6 linked regions of the Bombyx mori genome follow. The protein of the gene in region 5 interacts with the protein of the main gene of each other region in a pairwise test. Links are inferred from orthologs where the notes say so. Each region holds a gene or a part of one and is shown on either strand. Other genes may lie near its edges. The genes, in order: serine/threonine-protein phosphatase 1 regulatory subunit 10, protein phosphatase 1 regulatory subunit 16A, PDZ and LIM domain protein 7, protein kintoun, serine/threonine-protein phosphatase PP1-beta catalytic subunit and nuclear inhibitor of protein phosphatase 1.

Region 1 (4,289 bases), on a different chromosome or scaffold from region 5:
TGCATAAACTTGGCATAGTATCTAGTGCTGCCTGTGAATGTGGTGAGAGTTACTGCGATATGAATCATGTTTTCTTTTCCTGTCCTTTATATGACCACTCTTTCCTATATGAATCTCTAATATCTCTCTCTATTCCTCTTCCTTCTAACATTTACTTACTTCTTAGAGATAATAGACCCTGTGTATATAGTGCATTAAATAAATTTATTATAAATAACAAGATTAAATTGTAGTTTAATATTATTTGTTTTCTTTTGTTATATATATTTTTTAGATATGAAATTATTCTGATTTGTTTTTGTATAATTCCCGGTATGATTTAATTATTTTAATTCGCGTTATATGTTTCCCTCGCTTTGTTGACAAAATGTAAAATACTTGACACTGGCCAAATGCACGAATGGTGCCGAGCCAAAATTAAGAAGAAGAAGAAGAAGAATATTTTCTCATTTATCTTTTCTTTTCTGTTTTTTTTTTAATTAGTCTATTGCAAAAGGCAAAGGGATCGTAGACCATATAAGTAACCATTTTTTTATTTCAAAGGCTGAATCTGTTCTATTTTATGGAAAATAAAATAGAACAAACGATAGTGGGGAATTTACTGAGGTTCAATACGAGCAGTCACGTCCAGCATTTATGTTTAATTTTCCCAAAATTATGCACTTTCACAGAGGCTAAACGGTTGATAGGTCGCCATTATTACACATTTAATCCTAAAAAAATACTTTAATATCACCACAAAGTAACATAACTTGATACCTCTTCTCTCGCGACAAAAAGTATTAGAGTGATTTTGTCAGCCTCTCATTTGATTTTAAAGGCTTTTGTGTAATATTTGAAAATTATTGTCTTGCTTTTAAAAATCAATAATTGTCTATATCTATTTCTACATTATTTATATATAAAAAGGGTAAAATTATTAAGAAAAAGAAAAGAAGAAACAATTGTTGCCGTTGCAGTGGTATTTCTGGATTTTTGGTAAAAATAAAAGACTGCATAACTCTCAGTGCTCCAACCCAGCTTCAACTTTATTTACTGTTTCGGCGATGTTGTTTCTGTTGACCTAACAGTCTACTTAGTTCCCGTTATCTTGGGTGGGTAGCCAGAGTGACTTTAACTTGGTTCATCTGCTTTTTACTTTTAAATGTTCACGATCATACTAAAATTGAAATAACCTTTCGATAAACCGAAAGTCATAAACGTAAAATCCACATCCGAAAATGGGACTGCTTCATACGCATGGATGATAGGTACTTGAAACTTCTTTTATTTCCCTCAAAGGTTGACAAACTTACGGCTGAACTAGTATAGTAACTATATACTACTACTAATTGGAAGCTACCGACGAGCGTGAATTTAGGCAAAGCTAAGATTATAGACTCTTCCATATGATTGTTACAAATAAATATTACAGAGTTAGAGAAGAAACATACCACTACGGAACGTTCGAAATTACTCATTTCTGCAAATTTTCAAAAAAATATAGCAACACCGGCTAGTGACTATGCTACAAAGTGCGCAGTTTCCTTTTCCTCCTTTGTCATTCTTCAGCTATTCTTTGCGCTGCGTGCGTATCTGCGCTCGTATTTCTACAAGAGCTAAATAAAATTGGCTGCCGTTTAGGATTCTGCCAAGTAGATTGTGTATATTTTAATTTTCAATATTATCCATAGCTTATTTAGGTATTTAATTATCAATAAATACCACATTCAGACACTTGAAACAATCACTCAAATTACGCAATAATTAAGAATGTTAATTTAAAGGATTGTAAATTTATGTGGATAGAATGTAATATATGTAATGATTTTGTTGAAATAGTAATTTCGTGGACTGAGTCTCTAATTCTGAACTGTATAAATAAGAAATCAGTGTTTCGTTTGTGAGAGTACTGTTTCATACACAAGACGCCATATTAGAATGGAAAAATTTAGGGCGTGGCACATGAATTTTGATTGCTGTTCTCGGAGTTAAATTAATTTGAAGTTATCTACTGTAAAATTAGAAGAAATGGTAAGTGCGATAATTATTAAAATTGTTATGAATTTCTCAACCCACTTTACATAAGTAGCAAACTGAATTCACATACGTAGGTATCGATTTCATGTCAAATCATTTAAAGACTTTGAATATAAAGAATTCATGAGTTCTAAGCAATAAGTCGATTTTATTTATAATGGTTTAAAAATAGATATGAAACGTGGTGTAATTTGGTTGGCATGACGTGGTTTCTAGAAAGAAGGTAAGTAATGGCGTGACATCCGTCGGTAAATGCTTCAACGTGATTGGCTGTCGCCTACTTTTGTAAGAACAAAGAGTGGACTTTGATCATTGAATCGGGCCGCGGATATTTTATTGATTTAATATGATGCAAGACAATTATCATTAATTTGAAAATTCCTGAGTGTTGCAATCGTCTATTTTCCATCTGTACAAACATAAAAAAATTTAAAATACACGCCCTTTTTCAGGTAGACATTGCTAATTTGCTTGTTTTCTTTTCCAAACGGTCATTGTTCATCTTTATGGGCAACGCGTTATTCAACAAACGGTAAATAGTGGTCGTGGCCCAAAACACGTCACTTCGAATCCCCCCTATCCACAATCGGTGTTTCTAGGCATTCCAAGCACCAGTCACCATTTTCATCGAACCTTTCGAATGCGACCAAGGCTTCGTCATGAAAATTAAATAACAATAACAGCCCACTGAGTTGCCGGATCTTCTTAGTGGGTCGCGATTCCGATACAATGGTAGATTCAGCGAAGCACTGTCCTTGCTAGGGTTAGTGCTAGCAAGACGCCAAGCTGGATACCAGAGAGCTTGCCTAAACGTCCAGTGAATCTAGGGTGACCCCTCGAGGTTTCTGAAATAAGAAGTTAAATAAAGTTATCAATTCAATATGTCAATCGAGACCTCATTGTCTTGAGTGAGGATGAAGAAATTTACCAGATAGTGGTTGAGCTCGTTTGATTTATCTGTTGCAGTATAAGAACGAAAAAAAAACAGTATTAGATGTCTTCAATTTAAATATTTGTAATACTATTTTTAAGCTTTAACAAGCCAAAACAAATGTCATGAAGCATTACTCAGTGTGTTTTATAATTTAATGTTTAAATACACCACTGTCTAATGTAATAAACAAGGTCAGACATTTTATTGTTTTGTCTTCATCGATGAGTGGGAATTGTAGTAGAACATAAATTTGTATAAACATAACATAACAGCTACACTAAATGATTATAGCTTTTGCCATTAAAAGTAGCTTAGTGTAGAAATGAACAATATAAGGTTAATAATTTCGTAATTGCCTCCCAAGTATCCACACTATACCGGTTGTCAAAATTTTACAGGTGTTAAAGACCTAGCTATGTTATATTCTAGGACATTGATCTCATATGTTTTGTGGAATTAATGTTCCCAGGTCTAATGGCACTAGTAACACTAGTAACAGCTTTTACTGATATGCTTTTTAACTTATGAGATTTCAAAATGGTTAAAACTCTATTTCTGGAAGCATTTTCAATCCTACAGAAACTTTTTATTTCGAAACTCCTCAGATTCAGTCCTTAAAACAGAGGGATCGATAATGTTTTATCTATAAAAATTGCATCACAACAAAACTTCAGTGGAAGGAATCCTCATTACCTCTAAACCTTGTTTGAGTCCAAATATACAATGACCTGACCGTTGACCTTCTACTAACTAACTTTTGTTTATGGATTAAAAATACAAATCATTAATTTGAATAAAAACTTTTAAAGGATTATTTTCATTTAATTGAAATACCTTTCAGCTATTGTTTTATTACTGATATCAGATTCTTATTCAGAGTGATCAAAATAGTTTCAGAGAGAATCTTGCAAACTATTTCAGTCTATGCTGTCCAAGTGTATTCATGACAAGACATCTGAGCTGCTGTTGCATGGCATGAACCATTTTAGTTTCACGCTGTTGAACTATCCAAGTTTTTTTTATTTTCAAAGGGCCCCTTATTATTTAAGCATATTCCAAAAGAGGCTTTACTTATGTACCAGTAGTATAATATTTAAAACTTCTGGTTCTGAATTTTATGTCCAATTTAACCATATATATATGCTTCCCATTTGAGATAGTTACAATTTTTTTTTAATTGCTTAGATGGGTGGATGAGCTCACAGCCCATCTGGAGTTAAGTAGTTACTGGAGTCCATAGACATCTATACCGTAAATGCTGCCACCCACCTTTAGATATGAGTTCTAAGGTCTCAGTATAGTTACAGCGGCTGCCGCACCCATAACACGTTGACTG
Region 2 (4,195 bases), on a different chromosome or scaffold from region 5:
AAAGACAAATTGGTGACGACACTTTGTCTATTTTAACGTTTATTAAAATAGGCGCCAGCCGTTTCTAGCTTTGGTTTGATTTCTTTCAGATATACATATATCGAGGGGTGAAGGTTATTTGGTTTAAGCAACATTTTGCTAATACGCGACATTTATCATTGTAATTAAAGATGCGTTTTACTTGGTATTAGCATCAACAGTTCGATGTTTTTAATTGAAATTTAGAATTAAGAATTAAGTTTACTCTATTCAAATAGCTGAAGAAGTTTTTTCTCATATTTTTTTTCAAAATTTAAATATAGAATAAATAAATAAACTATATGGCTGGCTCCCCATATGATGTAATTTGTAAAGTTGCAAAAATATCGCTTAAACGATATAGCCTTTCACCCCTCGATACATAATTTAACGTTAAAAAAAAACGTTAATTTCAGAGAAGCTCACGACTGGAATAAATATTACGGCCACAGCCAATAACACAGTTCGTCGCAAATTAATTCGGAAGCCGATATCGAATTTTATGTAACCGAAGTGATTGTAAAAAATATATTTTTAGACGCAAGCGCTAATTTGGTTTGCATGTTCCGAATTACACCTACGATCGTGATATTTCTCAAAAATAACGAGTGGGCATGAACCACCCGCATGCCGCCTTGTCATTAATCACGGTTCAGTTTGTGTATAGTCGTGGAGTTTTCTATGCAGCAAGCAGTCTACATCAAAGAAGTTTTCTGTTTAGGTATTCGGAACCTTTTTTTTTAAACCGTTTTGATCAGATCAAAAAGTTTAACGTTATAAAATACGAGCTGATTTATTTGTAAATCTTGTGAATCATGTGCCTAGTTTGGCTGTATAAAATAATATTGCAACATAATATTTATAGGTATTAAAATTTTTAGTGTATATACGTGTTTTAATTATTCTTATCAGATTCAGTTTGTTTATTGAAAGTAATTTTAAATGTTTAAATTTCATTTTGTCGTTTATCTTAATTAATGTTTATTCCATAAGTTATTTATTATTATTTATTTATTTAAATATTTGTTCGTTATGCGTGCTATACGTTATTTTATCCAAATGAATACAAACGTTATCTTTACAGACATTGTTACCACTTGAGTGATTTCTACCGTATTCTGAGTTTGATACGTAACGAGCAAGTCTATACAGAAAAATTGTGTGATATATATTTAGTGATAGTGCGACTTCACCAGTTGAATGTAAATAAAAGTGTGATTCTGTGAATTTAATTATTCAATAGTTGAGAACTATTCTTTTTCGTTTGTTTGCATATATCAATATGGAATTTGTGTTGTTACTATTTTAAATTGATCTCTTAAATTTGCTGCTTAAGTGAAGTGAATAATAGAACACTACTACTTTGTTTTTGTTTTTTTTTTTAATTATCATCATTATTTCGGAACTAAAGTAAAGAACGCCCTTCCCAATTCGTCAGTATTAAATGTTCTGAAATGGAATGAAATTTGTTTCACCTTTTGGGATAATGTGCCTGTATTATTTTGTTACAACATTAACGTTTTCATCGTCGCTCATGGATATCAGCAATGTCAGGTACACAGCCAAGATGCCGCCTTTTGCTAAGGTCTGTACTCAAATCATGTTTAAAGAAGGACATGACATAGCGTTATGGAAGTTCTTTGGAGGACAGTTCGTTCTAAAATCGGACATGTTGGAGAAAGATCTCTAGAAACGCATTGTGGTGAACACAGTGATTCCAGATGGTGCGAGTGAACCCTACTCAGGTAGCGGAATGAGCGATAGTAAAAAGGAAATAAAGCGATAATTTCGAACAACTATTCAGTGACATTCAGCAGGAACACGACACGAAACACAGAAGGAATCAAAGTTCCTTCAGAGGTTCCAAACGATCCCTTTGTACGGGATTATCGACAATCCGAATGGCCTTTTCCCTATGAAGTCAATTAGTATACCGTGTGTTAATCTATTAGACATGAATGTGAATACTTTCAATAACTACTTCAGCAGAATAAGTCTTCTAAATTTAGTAGATTATAATTATTTATTAATTTCTTGTAGACGGCGCATGCAGCAACTAAAGCTATGGCAGCAAAGGGAGAAAGAATGGGCGAGGACCAGACCGAGGAAGGAGAAAAGCACCAAAAGGAATATTTATTTTAGCGACAGTGTCATGCTACTAGAAGCGGCAGCAAGAAATGATATAGATGAAGGTACTCGTGAATGTTTTTTTTTGTTTGAATGATGCATAAAAGTTACAAGGAATCGGATGTATCGTTTCGCTGCTGTTTCGCCTGTGAAGTTGCTTTCGTTTTTACTTCAATAAAAATCGTCTCGCCAGACCAGTGTTGTATGCGAACCGCGGTAAAGAGGCCGGGTTGTAGGAATTTCTTTACCAATTCCCAGTTATCAATACAAAACGGGAAGGTAATAGCGCCTTGAGTACCGCCCCAGTGTGGGGTATGCAAAACATACCATCTGAAAAAAATAATTAGTTGTCTGTAAATTCGGTTTACGGGTGACAGTCTTACATGATAACGTCAGTAGCAGAACTTTTTTTTTTTTTCCTACCTAAGCTGATAGCCTTGAGAGGCTATGTCAGCGTAACCCTAACTTTAGTAGGTGAGCTCACGGGGCTCAAACCTGACGATGTTGCTAACACGAACCCTAGCAAGAGTCGTGCTTCGCAGAATCTACCACCGGATCGGAAACGCGACCCACTGAGAAGATCCGGCGAGAAACTCAGTGGGCTGTGTCTGAGAGTTAATTTACTCGTCGAGCCCTTCGTCGCAAGCGACGGGTTCGACGAGAACGGTGACCGGTGCTTGAGGTACCTAAAAGCACCGTTAGTGGATCGGGAGGATCCGAAATGACGTGTTTTGGGCGACGTCGACTGCTTTCCATTCTGTCCGCAGGATCGGGAATGTAGTTACCGGCGGCCACGATGAGAGGATTCTCGTGTCGTGCCGCTTTATCGAAGTGGCGCATGGACGCCGACTGCAGATACTTACTGATGGACTCTAAGTCCAGGTCGTCATGGAGGTCGACATTCCTGACGAACCACGGGGCTCCGACGGCTATCCTGCAAAAACGGGATTGAATGACTTGGAATGATTTTAAGTGTATGCGGGCCGCGTGAGCGAACACTACACTTGCATAGGTCATGACGGGGCGTATGCAAGTTTTGTAGAGTGTCACCTTATTTCTAAGGGACATTTTACTTCGCCTACATATCATCGGGTAGAGACGTCCTAGAATGAAGGCGGCACGGTCGCGTACCGTCTTGATGTGGGGGCGGAATGTCATCCTACTGTCGAGGGTGACGCCTAAGTATTTGACCTTCGGGGCCCACGGTATGGGCTGGTCGAACATCGTGATTGGGCGAACGGCGGGGGCGGGGGTGTTGACGCGCCTAGTCGGGAGAGGGATGCTCAGCGTGGTGTTCGGAGGGCGACCCCTTTTGAAGAGCACCGCTGTGCTTTTCGTGGGGTTGATGTCGATGCGCCACTTCCGGAACCACTGTCCCATGGTGGTAGCTGCGGTCTGAAGTCGTCGATGAAGCAACGCCTTCTTCCTACACGAGTAGTAGATGGCGGTGTCATCGGCGAAGAGCGCCAGATGGGTCTCCGGAGACCGGGGTATATCGTTGATATACAAACTAAATAGTAACGGGGAGAGGGCGGAGCCTTGCGGGACTCCGGCTGTGACGTGACGGGGCCGGGAACGCGTTCCCTCGACTCGATATCGGAACGAACGGTTCGACAAGTAGTCTCGTATGATGAGTAGCAGAACTATTCGAACTGGCTAGCAGTTCGAGTGACGTCAGAGCTAGTCTGACGTCACGCGAGAAGAGTGATAAATGTCACCATGCCAACGCTCGGACCGATCGTGCCTCTCTATCGCTTGTTTCGCGCTCTCGCTTGCAGGCTCAGGCGGAACGTGACACATTTTTGTGCGTGCAGCCGGTGTTCATCGATTTATAAGACGTTATCACGTCAAAATAAGTGTATTAATCATCGGTGTACATATTGGAAATTCAACATAATATTATGTCTGTCAAAACTAAAACTTGTATCTAACGATTCTTGGTAGGAGAATTTTCTTATCAGTCCACTATAAAATTCGGAAGCTAAACGTGTTCTTAATCTGCTCAAAGGCTTATCTTAACCTGATATGTTGTTTGATTTTAGTTTATTTG
Region 3 (4,011 bases), on a different chromosome or scaffold from region 5:
TTTATACGAGAAAATCAGTTGTACTCTTCCGGCCTTATTTGTTAGATAAGCTTTATATTTTACACTAGCGACCCGCCCTCGCTTCGCTTCGGAAACATTAAAACACACATGAAACCAAAAAATAAAAAATAAAATAAAAATTAAAAAAAGTAGCCTATGTTCATCAGGGACAATGTCGGCTTCTAATGGAAAAAGAATTTTTCAAATCGGTCCAGTAGTTTCGGAGCCTATTCGAAACAAACAAACAAACAAATCTTTCCTCTTTATTATAATATTAGTATAGATTCTTTTTTTTTTGTTACCCTTGTAGGCAGACGAGCACACGGCCCACCTGATGCTGAGTGGTTACCGTCGCCCATGGACTTCAGCAATGCCAGGGGCAGAGTAAAGCCGCTGCCTACCGTTGAGTACTCTCCACAAGCCTCGTTTGAGGAAGGACAAGTCATAGCGCTCGGGAAACACCGTGGACGGGAGCTCATTCCAAAGCCGGATGGTATGTGGCAAAAAGATCTGTGGAAACGCAATGTGGATGAACGCACAGGCTCCAGGTAGTATGGATGAACTGTACTCCGGTGCGATAGTAAAAACGAGATGATGGAATTATCTCAAACAATACCTCAGAGCACTCACCATGGAACATACGGTACAAAATACAGAGAGAAGCGAAGTCCCTCCGCAGACCCAGAGGTTCCAAACGATCCGTGAGAACGGGATTATCGACAATCCGAACGACCCTCTTCTGTATGGAGTCAAATCTTTAAAAGGCCTTTAAAAGACGATTGTCGAAGTCTTATGAATATAAAATTTAAATAATTTTCATTAGGAATAGTACTCGTTCAGTCTAGGTTTAGTATCACTTACGCTACATTGCAAGTAAATCATCGGGTGCATGTTACTGCAATTAAATCATTTATACTTCAGCGATGAAATTTTAAAGTTAGATCTATCATCGTGGTAACTGATCGTAGTTCTATGTTTTATACCTATGGCATACTTAGTCCTATGGCATACATACATCCTTACTTATGGCATACTTAGTCCTATACATTTTATTTGTACCTACACTCCAAATTACATTTAGTTATTTCATCTGTTTAATAATGTAAGTATTCCTCTGGTTTCTGTCTCAGCGTTTATCCATTTTGAACGGAGTATTTTTTAAATTTGGTCATAATGGGTACAGAGTTCAAAATGAGAATAAAATTCTATAGTTATTTCTTTCTAATTAGTAAAAGTAAAGTTCGTTTATTATCAGTTCATCTGCTCGTTTGCAGCTTTTGTTTGTCTGGCCAGTATCTGCTTGTACACACTGATTTGGTTCATTTTAATTATTTACTATTTGCCATATAAAATATCAAATAAAAATATAGTAAATTGTTACATATTGAGTGATTTAGGGATACAGTATTCATTAACCAAGGAATTCAATATATTTTATCAGTTACATACGATATGATGCTGTAATTTTACAAGATCATTTAGTAAAAAAATCACTAATTGAATCCGTTACGGCTTCATTTGAATAAGGATGGCCGGAAGTTGAATAATTAATAGTTTTAAAAGAAAACAGCTCCAGAACTTCGTAGGATTACGACAATGAGGCCAAGCGACGACTTCACCGGCAGCTGTCGAACTAGAGCGACCGATACATATCCCAGAATACATCGGTTATAAAGAGACAACGTCAACGTTCTAGATTATTTGATGTTCTACATAATCATTTGAGAATCGTGCTGTGGCTCGGATTTTTAACAGCAGCGAAAATTAAAAAAAAACGAAAATAACCGAAACTTTATGAGGAGATAAAAATTCTTAAATTCTTTAAGAACAGATGTCATGTCATGTCACGACGGAATTATAATTATATTCGTTTGTAGTGAAATCGGCACCGTCGGTCCCTAAACATCAAATCGAAATACATATTCTATAGATAGATATCCACAAATTCACAGGAACGAAGCGTTGGGTTAATAGTAAATATTGACTCCAGCGCCGGTTTGTTTACACCGGCGTTCATTTGTTGACGTAGCGAGCGCCTTAGCTAACCGAGCTGATAAACGGGAGGTTTACCCTTGTGACAATGAGTGGAGTGGCGAGGTCTGCGCCGCCCACAAGCCGTAGTCCCCAGTTGATCTCGCGAGAATCCCTCCGCAGGGTCACTACGAACGTATGCAATCGGCCCATTGCGTTCGGATGCACTTGCGCGAACGCACTGTTGCGCGGATAGTACGACCGCGGCGGCAAGACACGACGTTCTGCGAGCTAAATTAGCCCACGCCGCAAACACGCATCCTCCCCGCCCGCCTTAGCTTCATGTAACCCTGCCTTCGCAATCGACCCAGTTCGATTTACGGAAACGATTCGATATTGATGACCGCCCATCAGGCTGCCTCCGAGATATGCCTCGCTGTTTATTTACTCCAATTTATAAACCACATTACTTTGACCTACATAAAAATTACACTTCAAAATATAAATGGGATAAGGTCGAAGAATTGATGGCGTAAATAAACATGTTAAAATTATTGTGATTACATTAACTACGCTTGATAAATGGGTTAGCAGAAACTTTATAGTTTATAATATATGTATATTAAAAATTCAAAAATGTTGTTAAGCTTATTGGGTTTCATGGTCTTTGATCAACTATACGAATTATTATTTAGTGGGAATAACAAGCTGTGTGAAGGCAACCGATCGTGTGAAAGTTTAAGAAAACAATATTGCTCATTTATATACTCGCGTGCACTACGCTACCATTGGCGTAGTCCAGCGTTTAATTGTTAAATTTAGACTGAAATCATGTTGATGTTTGCCAACTTCCCCATTTGCATTTTGTTCGTTATCGATAATTTGAAATGGAGCTCTCTTTTGGTGAGAATTTTCCAATTGGCACCCGCAAAATTATAATTTGTGTAATTACTGGTGGTAGGACCTCTTGTGAGTCCACGCGGGGGGGGACCACCACCCTGCCTATTTTCTGCCGTGAAGCAGTAATGCGTTTCGGTTTGAAGGGTGGAGAACTTATATCTCAAGGTGGGTGGCGCATTTACGTTGTGAATGTCTATGGGCTCCAGTAACCACTTAACACCAGGTGGGCTGTGAGCTCGTCCACCCATCTAAGCAATAAATAAATAAAAAGACGAGTTTCATTATTTATGAGGCTTAATGGCTGAAAGTAGTTTAAAAGCGTGTAGCTTGTTCTCATTATTTTATGTATCCAAATGAACACAGGTCTAAAATGATACATTTGAAATCACCGAAATCGTGAAACGGTAAAGATACATGGGAAATAAATATTTTGGGAGAGATTGCGACTGATTAAGACTCTTATGAAATATTTTGATATAAGTCGCAGTTTTCATGTCTACTTGTACTTAGATGTCCGAAAGGAAAAGACTTTAAGTACTGGGTGAACGTACTACGTTTTTATTTCTTATGCAATTCTTATTGATTTAGACTGAAGTTACCTTTTAGTGGTAGCTTGATTTAAATTATATAATTTCAATAAAATTCTTATTAACTATACATAACTTTCCTAGAAGTTCCATGTTTCATCGAAGTCCGAGTTCGAATAAACAAAAGACCTAACAAAAGAAGCACACCAATTAATTTCAATTTTCTGTCAACACCCCATCAGTATTCAACCACGAAAAAAATTTCATTACGCAAGATTAATAAAACAAAAACATGTTTAGTAAAACTTCGGTTCGTATTTTCATTTATCACTATCACTACATAGTATAAAACAAAGTCGCTTTCTCTGTCCCTATATCCCTATATAAATAATCTGAATCTTTAAAACTACACAACGGATTTTGATGCGTTTTTTTACTAGATAGAGTGATTGAAGAGGAAGGTTTATATGTATAATAACATCCATTAAATAGTGGAGAAATCAATAATAAATTACAGTTTCCGAAGCGAAGTGAGGGCGGGTCGCTAGTTCTTTATATGTTTTAGTCTCTTTATTTAATTTTCACATTTTTTGGTAAATGCTTACCTTTCGTT
Region 4 (3,641 bases), on a different chromosome or scaffold from region 5:
AACTGCCAATGTTTTGCTCAAACGAATACCCAATGCAACCCAAATCCAATTATTGCGAATAATTTGCATACAGTTTGATTTATTTACTCATTGAAACTTACTTAGCTTACTCATGGAAATGCCTTGAATAAATCAAACCATTGAGTAATGATTTCAATACGTGTTTATCAATATTTATTTCACTATCTATATATCAATCTTTCTTATCTGCGTTTGTTATTTTCAAGAAATGATAATAGTGGATTTCATAAGTTTATGTTGTCTAATGTATATTACATTATTTTTTCAGGTACAATTCTTCTATTGAAGGTCAGAAAAAGAAAAATCAACGCAAGAAGAGTAAAAAGAGAAATCTGGAGAGAAGGAAAAGTGAAAGTGAAGCAGAAGAAGAATGTGGAAATACTCTTCAGGTACGTTAGCTTCTTACTTACTACTACTGGTGGTTTCAAGGGTGGGGCAACCGTTATAACAATACTGAGATCTTAGAACTTATATCACAAGGTGGGTGGTGCATTTACGTTGTAGATGTCCATGGGCTCCAGTAACGGTGCAAGTAAGTGGGCTGTGAGCTCGTGCACCCATCTAAGCAATAAAAAAAATTGCTATAAGCTTGTTGATGAAGCGAATAAAAAATAAACACGTTTCATACGGTCTCGCATACGTCACTTTTGCTTAGTTATCACCTTAAGGAATACCCCAGCGACTCTGCAAGTAGTTTGCTATCTATTTGGATAAGCGGAGAATTACAGTCGTAGACGACTGCTGCTCCTATAGCATGACCGTTAGTTCTGGCGTTCCACAAGGATCAGTGCTCTCCCCCACGGTTTTCATCCTGTAAATCAATGCCATTCTATCTATTGATGGCTTGCGTCGTTATGCAGATGACAAACACCGGGATGTGCGATATGTCAGGCATCAGAGTGTCTCGAAGCATAGTGCAGGAGAGACGATCAAATCATGGGTCTGAAGTGAAGAAAACTCTGAACACTTCAATTCAACCCATTGAACCCAGGGTTGCGCGTTCACTCCGAAAAAGGACTCTTGTCATGGTGCCGCAAGTCCAAAGAGTATCCTTGCAACCTTTCACGAGTATTGGGATACTAGGGGTCGATGTTTCGATGTATGTCCAATTTTGGAGTCATTTCAAGGGCAAGTTGACGTCCAAAATACTGGGAATTCTCTATATAGCGAAGCGGTATTTCACGCATGGACAAAGACTTGCTTTACAAAACACAAGTTTGTCATCGCGTGGAGTACTGGTCCCACCTCTAGGCCGGGGCTCCCAAATACCAGCTACTTCCCTTTGACTCTGTAAAGAAGAGGGCCGTTCGGATTATCGATGATCCCATTCTCGTGGAGTCTTTTGGCCCAAATTCTATTTATAAACGTATATTTGTCAATAAAATATCATTATCAAGTTTATAATAACATACATAAAACAATTGTTCAGTTTAGTAATACATATTTTGTTTTTTAAGAATGAATCAAAACGTGACATTATTTTCTCGTATTTCTACAAACTTTCTTCGTTCTCGTGTGAACGGACACTAATAACGCAGACCGTTCGAGTTACAAAAACAACTTATTTAGCAGAAGCGTTGTTTCATGTTTGTAATTTACATAGGAGTTTCTACAAAATAACGCAACAAAATCGTCAGCGTTTTTTTTCTCCGTTTTATAGGTCAAAAAACGAAAACAAGTATGTTCTTAAGTATGTTAAAGATACTGAGATATATCATTTTAAACGTCTTTATGAATATTATGTTCGCAGAGTTCCAAACAAAGGTCGAAGTCAGCATTGAAACAGCGACGCGACAGCGGTCTAGCGGACACGTCCGACGCCGAAGAATGCAAAACATCGGATTCGTACAACAATCACGAATTCAACATAAACGCTAAACCGACAAAATACGTAAACAAGGCTGGAATCGTTGACGCGAAATCAGAATTTCGGGATTCCGGAAAGCATTCGAAGAAACTCGAAGGAGATTCTATTAATTGCGAAAATATTAAACACAAAACGGACCTCTACGATCCCGAAAGGTTAAACAAAGGAAAATATTTAGAAGTTTCCTTTAAAAACGATCTCATATTTGATTTGGACATGTAAGCTCAGCCATGTTCGCTACTAAGCAACTTAAAGTTAATGTAAGGCGCGTAACGCCTTCTACTACGATTTTACAATATATTGAGGACACCCCAGTTTTAATTTAAAATTTTATTCATAGATTTAGTATTATAACATTTCAGAGTTATGTTCCTTTCATTGATTTGAGTACTATTTATAGACTGTAGAATGTTGTTTCTAGGTTTATGGCAACGGACTATTCGATCCGCATAATACATTCGGTCAATTAATAATTTTATAAGTTAAGTAATTTTAGAGTATATAGTTTTCAGAAGTTGTCTTACTTTAAATAATTTTTGCTCACACCAGACAATATTTCAAATGTGAACGAGTGGTACAAACTAGTGATTATTATATATACACATGGCTTGATGTCCAGTGTAAGTTTTTAAAAGCACTGCACAGTGATCAATTAGATTAATACACGTTTATACACATTTTATTATATATACAAATAATAAATAATTAAATAATCAAACATCCGATCCAGTCTTGCATATGAAAATTGTTTATTTGTAGATTTTTTTGAATCTTGATTAACGATTAATGGTTAATTTATATTTGGTCTTGATCTAAACAATATGGTAGTGAGTGAGTGGTTTAATAAAGGAGAGTCAAGTGTGTATCGGCTACCGTCTGGATGAGTTACAGCTGTAGCTAGGGTTGACACTAACTAGCCAATAGTAGTGTAGTATGTATATGCTACTTACAATACAGAAAATAGAATGCACTACTAACCTTTATTTATTTATTTTATTAACCTTTATTTTTGTTTAAAAATTCACTAACCATACAAAAACTATTAAATTTATATGCGAGTTAATGACCCTAGCTCATAACTTTATGCGAGTAAAACGAACAGCTTGTCTTAAAATTAATCCCAAACTGTTGTCATAAACAATGCATTTAGTTAATTTAGAAACGAATGATTTGTAATAATTAATTATAGTTATTTAACGTATGAATGTGATTCAGTGTTTTTGGGAGTATACAAAATAAAAAATGTGAAATTATGTTATTTTGTTTCCTTGGTCACATATAGATACGATGATATAGGTATCTTAGGAAATGTCGAATTGTAACGGTAATCATTGGTAGTTTTACTTAATACAAATGTTCATGATTGATTTCCACGGTGAAGGCATAACATCCTGTAATAAAAAAAAAACAAATGTGTGCAATTCACACGTGGTAGAAGTGAAACCTTCCAAAATTAAAATACAATTATCCTAAACGTCTCAAGTATATGTAAAATTTTGTCATTAGTAAATAATTGTAAGGTAGCGCCCTCTGTGAATTGATATTTTAATTTCACGTATAATCCTAAATTAAAATTCACTACAAGAGCTTTCATACACACGTTAGTATTAAAAAATTTCACAGATGGCGCTGTATTAAATAGTATGTATATTTCTGTCTCATTCTTTGCTGGCTTCATCCTACACATTTTTGTATTTGTGTCTCTTACCTATCGTTTTTTCCGTTGCATCCGGTTTGAAATCACAACGATTCT
Region 5 (4,174 bases):
AACTTGTCCACTTATTAATCTAAAAGTAGTTGTGAATTTGATTTCGATTAATTTTAGAGAAAATTAATGAAATTATAACACCTTTGTATCAGATTATATAGAATGAGCTTTCTACTACAGAACTAATAACTGTTTTTGCAACTTATACCGGTATGGCTGTCAATTGTAATATTTTAATAAATCTATTAAGCCTTCCAAAGCAGAGCAATATTCAAGTTTGTCTCAACATGCTAGTCCAAGCGCTGTGTACCATTCCAAACTCATTCCAAGCCCAGTTTGAAATACTCGGGAAACACTGTAGAGGCAAATTAAATATCGAGCCGAATGGTACGTGGAAAAAACATCTCTGGAAACGCAACGACTCCAAGTTCGATGGTTTTTAGAGTAGTAGTTTAAAAATATTATCGGATGAATACTTCATTTTAATGCTTAGAACAACTTTAGAAACGATGAGTAAAAAAGGTACTAATTGAATAATTCAGCTGATTTTACTTTATTTCAATTTGAAGCGAATAGAGCACGATTTACGAATGGGCACCGATAATGTTAAATTTCATGGAAAGTGATCTCTCGAGAGAATATACTTTAATGCACGCCAAAACACAATTAACATTAAAAAAGAATCAACAAGTAGATATATTTGTACATTATGCGACCTTATTACTAAAAGCGATCTGTTCTAGACAACCGATTTATTTACAGAAATTCTCAAAATATTAAGATACAGTATTGTATATGTTGCGGTGTACTATTAAGAATAGATTAATAAGGAAAAAAATACATTTTTTTTATTGCTTAGATAGGTGAACGAGCTCATTGCCCCACCCTTCAAACCGCAACGCATTACTGCTTTACGGCAGAAATAGGCAGTGCGGTGGTACCTATCCGTGCAGACTCACAAGTGGTCCTACCACCAGTAATTACGCAAATTATAATTTTGCGGGTTTGATTTTTATTACAGCGATGTTATTCCTTCACCGCGGAAGTCAATCGTGAACATTTGTTAAGTACGTATTTCATTAGAAAAACTGGTACCCGTCTGGAATTCGAACACCGTTGCATCGCTTCAACACGAATGCACCGGACGTCTTATCCCTTAGGCCACGACGACTTCAAACACAATACAATAAATAGTATATATGCTTAGACCGTTTACACAATATGAAATCACCATAATCACTTATATAGGTCCCAATATACTTTTATATATTAATTTACTTATATATACTTAATAAATCAACAGCATGGAAACGATAAGCAAACAAACACAGGAAAAAATTATACGTCTCACCTAGGAACCCAAAACGTTCTTGCAGATATGTATATTTCCAACCAAACCGATTAAAAACCAAATACGAATCATTTTGCAGTACTTGGAATGTACCTGAAACTTACTCAAATGCTATTTTATTTTAACGTTTTGTGTCTACCAATGGACATTTTTTAAGTTAAGTAACTATCCATGAAACACAATAAATGAGAAGCGACGATAAAAACCATTTTAAACATAAAATTGTTCTCCTATTTACTTCTTTACAAGTTCTGCGTATTATGAAGAGTAATTCTAACCACAAACAATAAGAGCAAACAGGAAGAAAAAAACATTTGACTTTTTGACATAAATTTATTCGTGTAGTAAATATGGCTGACGAACTAAATGTTGACAGTCTAATTCACAGACTTTTGGAAGGTAAAATGCAATTTGTTACGATTTTGTGAGCCTCTCTTAACTACCAGACGTCTAGTTGCAAGTCTGATAATATTGGGTTTTCATTCAGCTGGTCCTTGTTGCGTAATTATTTCTGAATAAGAAGGCATAGAAACGTCAACCTCATAAATAAATCGATTATCCTTAATTTCTTATCAGGCTGCATATTAGCGTTTCTGTTAATGTTTAAATGCCTTGGATATGTTATTTTTCAATTAGAAGGGAAGATTTACGTATAAACAATAGTTGTTAGATTTTAGCCCTGAACAATGATGTCAGACTTCCATAGATTTAAACACTCACAAACTTATTGTTCTTTTATTAGTGTTACGCATTGCTTACTTGATTCAAACATATACATTTCACTTTATTGTGCTGCTTTTTGATGGGTTACAACAGTATACAGACTGCAACAAGAAACTGCAAGGAAGAAAGGCAAATTGAAAGACATCTTTTCAGGAGAATGTATGGCCACATTCAAAATTCTTGCCAGAGTATTCAGCTAGAACGTTTATTTCTTACTACCCTAGTGATCAGTCTTAACCGAAAGTTTATTCCCAATAATTATATCATGTGTTACCCATCAACATCTCATTCTTCAATTGAATCTAAAAATAGCCACAAGTATATACAAACTATGATCGCTAAACCATTTTATAGGAAGGTCTTGCAATCTGTGTTTACAGCTGTATAATGTTAATTTAGATAAAAACTTGATCTTAATCTTGCAAATTTTTTAAATTAATAACTTTTTGAGATTATATTGGTGATCAATTTTGATACTGAGTGCTAGTGTTTAGGAGTGCTTGTTGATTTGTGTGCCTATAAATTTATCAATACTTGAATACATTTTGTTTTGTTAGATTCTTATCAAATTTCATTCTAGGAATGGTAGTTAAATTGTATTTTGCATGAAAATGTCTGCATGCCTTACATGTCATAAATATAACATTTAATAAAACCCCTGCATTTGATAAATGTTTTTTGTGTTATGAAAAGCATTCTGTTTATTTTGAGTTAGAAGTTAGCAAACTGAAACCCATTCAATTAAATTTATAAAATTAAATTGAAAACTATACTAACTATGCTTCCTTAGCTACTTATAAGAATAAAATTATAAACAAAAAAAGGCTAAGAGTGCTTAATTGCTTTTAGTTGTACTACAGTTTTAAACAAATCTATATTTTTAATAAATCTTATTATTCTGACTTCAAACTTTTGCCTTAGTTCGAGGATGCAGGCCTGGCAAGACTGTGCAAATGTCGGAGGCAGAGGTACGTGGGCTCTGCACAAAGTCCAGAGAAATATTCCTGCAGCAGCCCATATTACTGGAGTTGGAGGCACCACTCAAAATTTGTGGTAAAGTCTTAAAAGTTCTTTTTTTCACTAAATTAAAAACATTCTTAATGAAATATAAATATCTTACACCAGTAACAATGAGATTTAAAAATAATTATTTAGCTTATTTAATTTCATGAACCTAAGCTACTTTCAAAAGTAAAATTCTATTTTCAAAGTTTGTTATTTCATTCATACTATGTTTATTTAACTTTTATGATTTAATACACCCTGTATTAAAGCATAAAATTTAAAATAAGTATTGGAATCATTCCCTGAGCTGTAATAGAATAACCATTATCCAAAATTATCTGCAAGACAATTCTGTAGTTGGTGGTATTAGGGCATACTTACCTAGCCCTAGCATTTAATACAATCCTCTCTGTACCTCCTGCAAAGGAATCATGCATGTAAATGAAATGTGAATAAACGTGGTATTGCAGAAAATTTTTGGGAATATTGGTGAACAAAAAAAAATCAGTATTATTTATTAAAAATATGTAAAATAAATGCATATTCTCAAAATTAATGCCAACCTGAATGAATAGAAAAAAATATTGAAAATAGAAGTTTCAGTTTCCTAGGTCTTCGGGAAGTGCCTCAAAAATCAGATGAAGATCAGATCAGAATCAGAAAAGATGTCAGTGTTTGGTGTCATTCTTTATTGTCACACTTTTTTCAATCTAGCCAGCTCTAGACCCACAGAGAGCAAACATACAAACCTTTTTTTAAATGTCTTTAATATAAATAAAAGTTTTTTTTTTCTCCTCCCTTTTTCTCATTATGAAATTATGAAAGAGTAACTTTTTTCCTCAGCATGCATACATGATGCACCATAAGTGCCACACAAAAAAAAACATAAAATAAATTGTGTCTCACTTCTTCCTACTTTTTGCTAAGATTTTATACTCAAAGTTATCTATAAAGTATTGTTCTTATTAGCTTTATCTGTATCTATCTAGGTATATTTCTATATATCTCTCTCTCTCTCTCTCACTCACTCACTCACTGACTCACTCTCTCTTCATGTAACTAAATCTTTCAACATAATATTTACCCTCTGGAGTTTTCTGATCAATTTGAAAATTTGTACGTGTATCTAGGACTGATGAGAACACAATAATTATA
Region 6 (2,977 bases), on a different chromosome or scaffold from region 5:
GTGTTCGCTATCGATAAACCATTGTCATCTCGGTGGGTCGCAATTCCGTTCCGGTGATAGATTCAGCGAAGCACAACTCTTGTTAGGGCTGGTGTTAGCAAATTTTCTCAGGTTTGAAGCCATGAGCTCACCTACCCGTAAGGTCATAACTGAAATAGTCTCCTAGGCTACCGGCGAATAGGAAAAAAAGCCGGCATCCAAACCCAAAGCTACATAAATTTTATTTTTATTGACTTCATAAAAGGAGATGGTTCTGGGGATTGGTTCATTGGGATCTATTATTTATTACATTAATCGAAGACAGCAGCACTCCAAAAAGTATACGGTATCGATATTACTATAACTTTAGGAGGAAGCAGCAACCTCAAAACAATTTATGGAGTACATACAGAAAAAATATTCGGTACCTATATAATCTCAAATATAGAAAGTAGTCATGTAATTAGTGGAATGCATAGAATAAATACAGGACAGTATACGGTACCGATATATCCATACATTTGGATGGATGTCGAAAAACTGATTAAATGTATGGAACAAATACAGAAATATACAATGTGACACATTATTTCCATCATGAACGGATGCAAGGAACCAGCGAGAATTATTTCAAATTGAATATCTTATTTTCGAATTTAAATAAAATTTCTTGTCGGTAATAGAATTCACATGACACCAATGTAACTATATTCGCACGAATAATAGTTTAAAACCCATTGGAAACGGTGGATGCAACAGGGTTCGACTATGAAAAGACGCAAGAAGTCTTCATCGATTTAAATATATATATATATATATATTTTATGGAAATTTTGTCTTTCCCTTTCAGGCTCGGTCTATCGTTGCCGAACCCGGCGCCCGAAGTGGAGCTCGAAGGTCCGGAACCGTTCATGCTGCACGCGCCCTTACCGACCACAGGTCAGTCCAACGCACTATGTACTTTAATGTTGAAGCGTTAAGGTTTGATTTGATGTAAACTCGTACGGTGATTATGTATCGTCGAACATATACATACGTATTGCCTGATAGTGAGTACCGTAATTGTCTTGTCATGGACATGTCCGGGGCATAGACAAATTCCATTTGGCGCATTTACGTTGTAGATGTCTATGGGCTCCACTTAACACAAGGTAGACTTTGAGCTCGTACATCCATCTAAGCAATAAAACAAAGGGGATACAAAGTTTTTGCTTTACACATTAATTATAGACTCTCTCACTCTATTGAATCTTTATTTTCCAGCACCCGAAGAACCAGGTTCGTCGGCCGGCCCGCGAAAGAAGAAGTACGCCAAGGAAGCGTGGCCAGGCCGGAAGCCAAGTCTCATACCGGGCGTGTGAAGCGAAACTGAAGTCGGAACGTTTTAAAAACTTAAAAGTAAATAAACAACCATGTCCTTTTGTGTTCAGCGTTTGAATGGAGCTTTAGGTGTCGGAGAGTCAATGTAAAACGAAGTTTCTCGTTTCTGTGTGATGGCTTGTCAATGAGCTCACGTGATATACGATTTGTATTGGTGACGCCGGAGTTGTTCTCGGAAGTCAATTTTGGATTGTGCTGGCGAATCTGAATATTCAATTCATTGTATATTGTAACGCGCTGGAGATAAATAAAAAATCTACCGAAGTATAAATTAAAACTGTATATTCACACTTAGAAAACTCACAGAACACTTTAAAATTCTTAATTCACTTCTTCCGCTTCGCTTCAGGTAATCCGTTCGCTGTTTCGTTTCGAATAGTTCCGATTACTAATTAACTCGTGCCATCTCTGCAACGCTTTTATAGTCGATATGACATCCCTAGAATTATCGAGGAAATTCCTCACAAGTCGAGTTATCTTCGACGTGTGTTTCCGCTATCTGACAATAGGTGGCGTTGTACTTCTCGATCTTTCTCGACGTTATGACTTCCTTTGATATTCGTTTCGGCTATTTGGCGATAGATGGCGTTACTCTTACCGGCGTAATAATATCATGCATGTAAGTAATGTGGTAGTAATATATTAGCCGATGTCGGTCGTCTCCTAGGGAATGTATCGGCGCGGTGAAACAACCGTCATAAAATACACACATAGACTATTTCGACCTCATGTCTGAAGGTCACTGTGAGCGGGCTCCGGTAACCACTTAACGTCAGGATGGCGGCTGAAATTATCGCAGGATAGTGTTGTCGTGTTTTGATTCACACGATAACAGAGCTGAGGCCAATCTGTCGATAATTACCCAGTAAACCCTCTACAAACCAGGGTCGTAAGCTCGTCTCTGTGACTTAGTGCGATCTTGCTGCTTTTTGTCCAAATAAACTTGATCGATCCGACACGCCGATTTGTTGAACTCAAAGCTTCTTGAGCACTGTTGCGACTTCGGATGAAACGGAAACGACACTAGAAAGAGACAAACATATACGTCTATAGGATTCAGCGTGCGAAATTGAGAGAGAATACTGCAGGCACGTGTTATTTCAATCGTATCTCTGACCGATAATTGGGCTTCTTCGGACATTTGTCGTTAGAAGAATCAAACTAGGAGTCGCCAGAGAACCATCGTCTTTTGTTCTATGGAAAACGTTATTTGATACATATCGATACATCAGAACCCTTGGAAAACAAATCTGATATAAGTAATGTTCATTTATCGATGCTATTTGTTTCAATAAAACCGTACATCATCAGTTCCATATACCAATTTGTTTAATATCACATATACAATATAATTTCTATATGCACTTATGATTTTTTAATTGAGGTATTTCACAATTAAAGACGATGCATTCTGAAATTGATAATGAATTTTGACCTGTAACTGGTTCTTAGGCTTCTCCAATTGTACGCCATTGATCACGATCCTCGGTTGCTATCAACCAGCTCTGACCAGCCATCCAGCATAGGACGTCACATCCTATTTTATTTATTTCATTTACTTTAGATTTTGCATCCATATTACATTCATTAACATTTCATATATATGAAAAAAAATTTG

What was found.
Region 1: the proteins of serine/threonine-protein phosphatase PP1-beta catalytic subunit (region 5) and serine/threonine-protein phosphatase 1 regulatory subunit 10 interact in a two-hybrid assay, tested with the Drosophila melanogaster proteins (2 studies listed by BioGRID). The link is inferred for Bombyx mori from reciprocal best matches to the Drosophila melanogaster genes flw and PNUTS.
Region 2: the proteins of serine/threonine-protein phosphatase PP1-beta catalytic subunit (region 5) and protein phosphatase 1 regulatory subunit 16A interact in a two-hybrid assay, tested with the Drosophila melanogaster proteins (2 studies listed by BioGRID). The link is inferred for Bombyx mori from reciprocal best matches to the Drosophila melanogaster genes flw and MYPT-75D.
Region 3: the proteins of serine/threonine-protein phosphatase PP1-beta catalytic subunit (region 5) and PDZ and LIM domain protein 7 interact in a two-hybrid assay, tested with the Drosophila melanogaster proteins (2 studies listed by BioGRID). The link is inferred for Bombyx mori from reciprocal best matches to the Drosophila melanogaster genes flw and Zasp66.
Region 4: the proteins of serine/threonine-protein phosphatase PP1-beta catalytic subunit (region 5) and protein kintoun interact in binary tests that used the Drosophila melanogaster proteins (3 or more experiments, as listed by UniProt). The link is inferred for Bombyx mori from reciprocal best matches to the Drosophila melanogaster genes flw and Nop17l.
Region 6: the proteins of serine/threonine-protein phosphatase PP1-beta catalytic subunit (region 5) and nuclear inhibitor of protein phosphatase 1 interact in a two-hybrid assay, tested with the Drosophila melanogaster proteins (2 studies listed by BioGRID). The link is inferred for Bombyx mori from reciprocal best matches to the Drosophila melanogaster genes flw and NiPp1.

The regions. Positions count from the first base shown.
Region 1 is NC_085110.1:7,714,672-7,718,960, reverse strand, and holds the start of serine/threonine-protein phosphatase 1 regulatory subunit 10, read left to right. Parts: upstream 1-1,489; 5' UTR 1,490-2,010; coding exon 2,011-2,013; intron 2,014-4,289.
Region 2 is NC_085117.1:10,540,727-10,544,921, reverse strand, and holds the start of protein phosphatase 1 regulatory subunit 16A, read left to right. Parts: upstream 1-1,395; 5' UTR 1,396-1,477; coding exon 1,478-1,572; coding exon of another isoform or gene 1,573-1,603; intron 1,604-2,058; coding exon 2,059-2,210; intron 2,211-4,195.
Region 3 is NC_085128.1:10,936,626-10,940,636, forward strand, and holds the start of PDZ and LIM domain protein 7, read right to left. Parts: upstream 2,801-4,011; 5' UTR 2,185-2,800; coding exon 2,071-2,184; intron 1-2,070.
Region 4 is NC_085116.1:10,196,615-10,200,255, reverse strand, and holds the end of protein kintoun, read left to right. Parts: intron 1-289; coding exon 290-410; intron 411-1,771; coding exon 1,772-2,110; 3' UTR 2,111-3,141; downstream 3,142-3,641. UniProt on the Drosophila melanogaster protein: Required for cytoplasmic pre-assembly of axonemal dyneins, thereby playing a central role in motility in cilia and flagella.
Region 5 is NC_085124.1:8,354,105-8,358,278, forward strand, and holds the start of serine/threonine-protein phosphatase PP1-beta catalytic subunit, read left to right. Parts: upstream 1-1,374; 5' UTR 1,375-1,641; coding exon 1,642-1,690; exon of another isoform or gene 1,691-1,802; intron 1,803-2,050; exon of another isoform or gene 2,051-2,167; intron 2,168-2,935; coding exon 2,936-3,067; intron 3,068-4,174. UniProt on the Drosophila melanogaster protein: Required for cell adhesion in non-muscle tissues and in maintenance of muscle attachment. Vital for larval development.
Region 6 is NC_085126.1:4,092,689-4,095,665, forward strand, and holds part of nuclear inhibitor of protein phosphatase 1, read left to right. Parts: intron 1-829; coding exon 830-918; intron 919-1,242; coding exon 1,243-1,340; 3' UTR 1,341-2,977.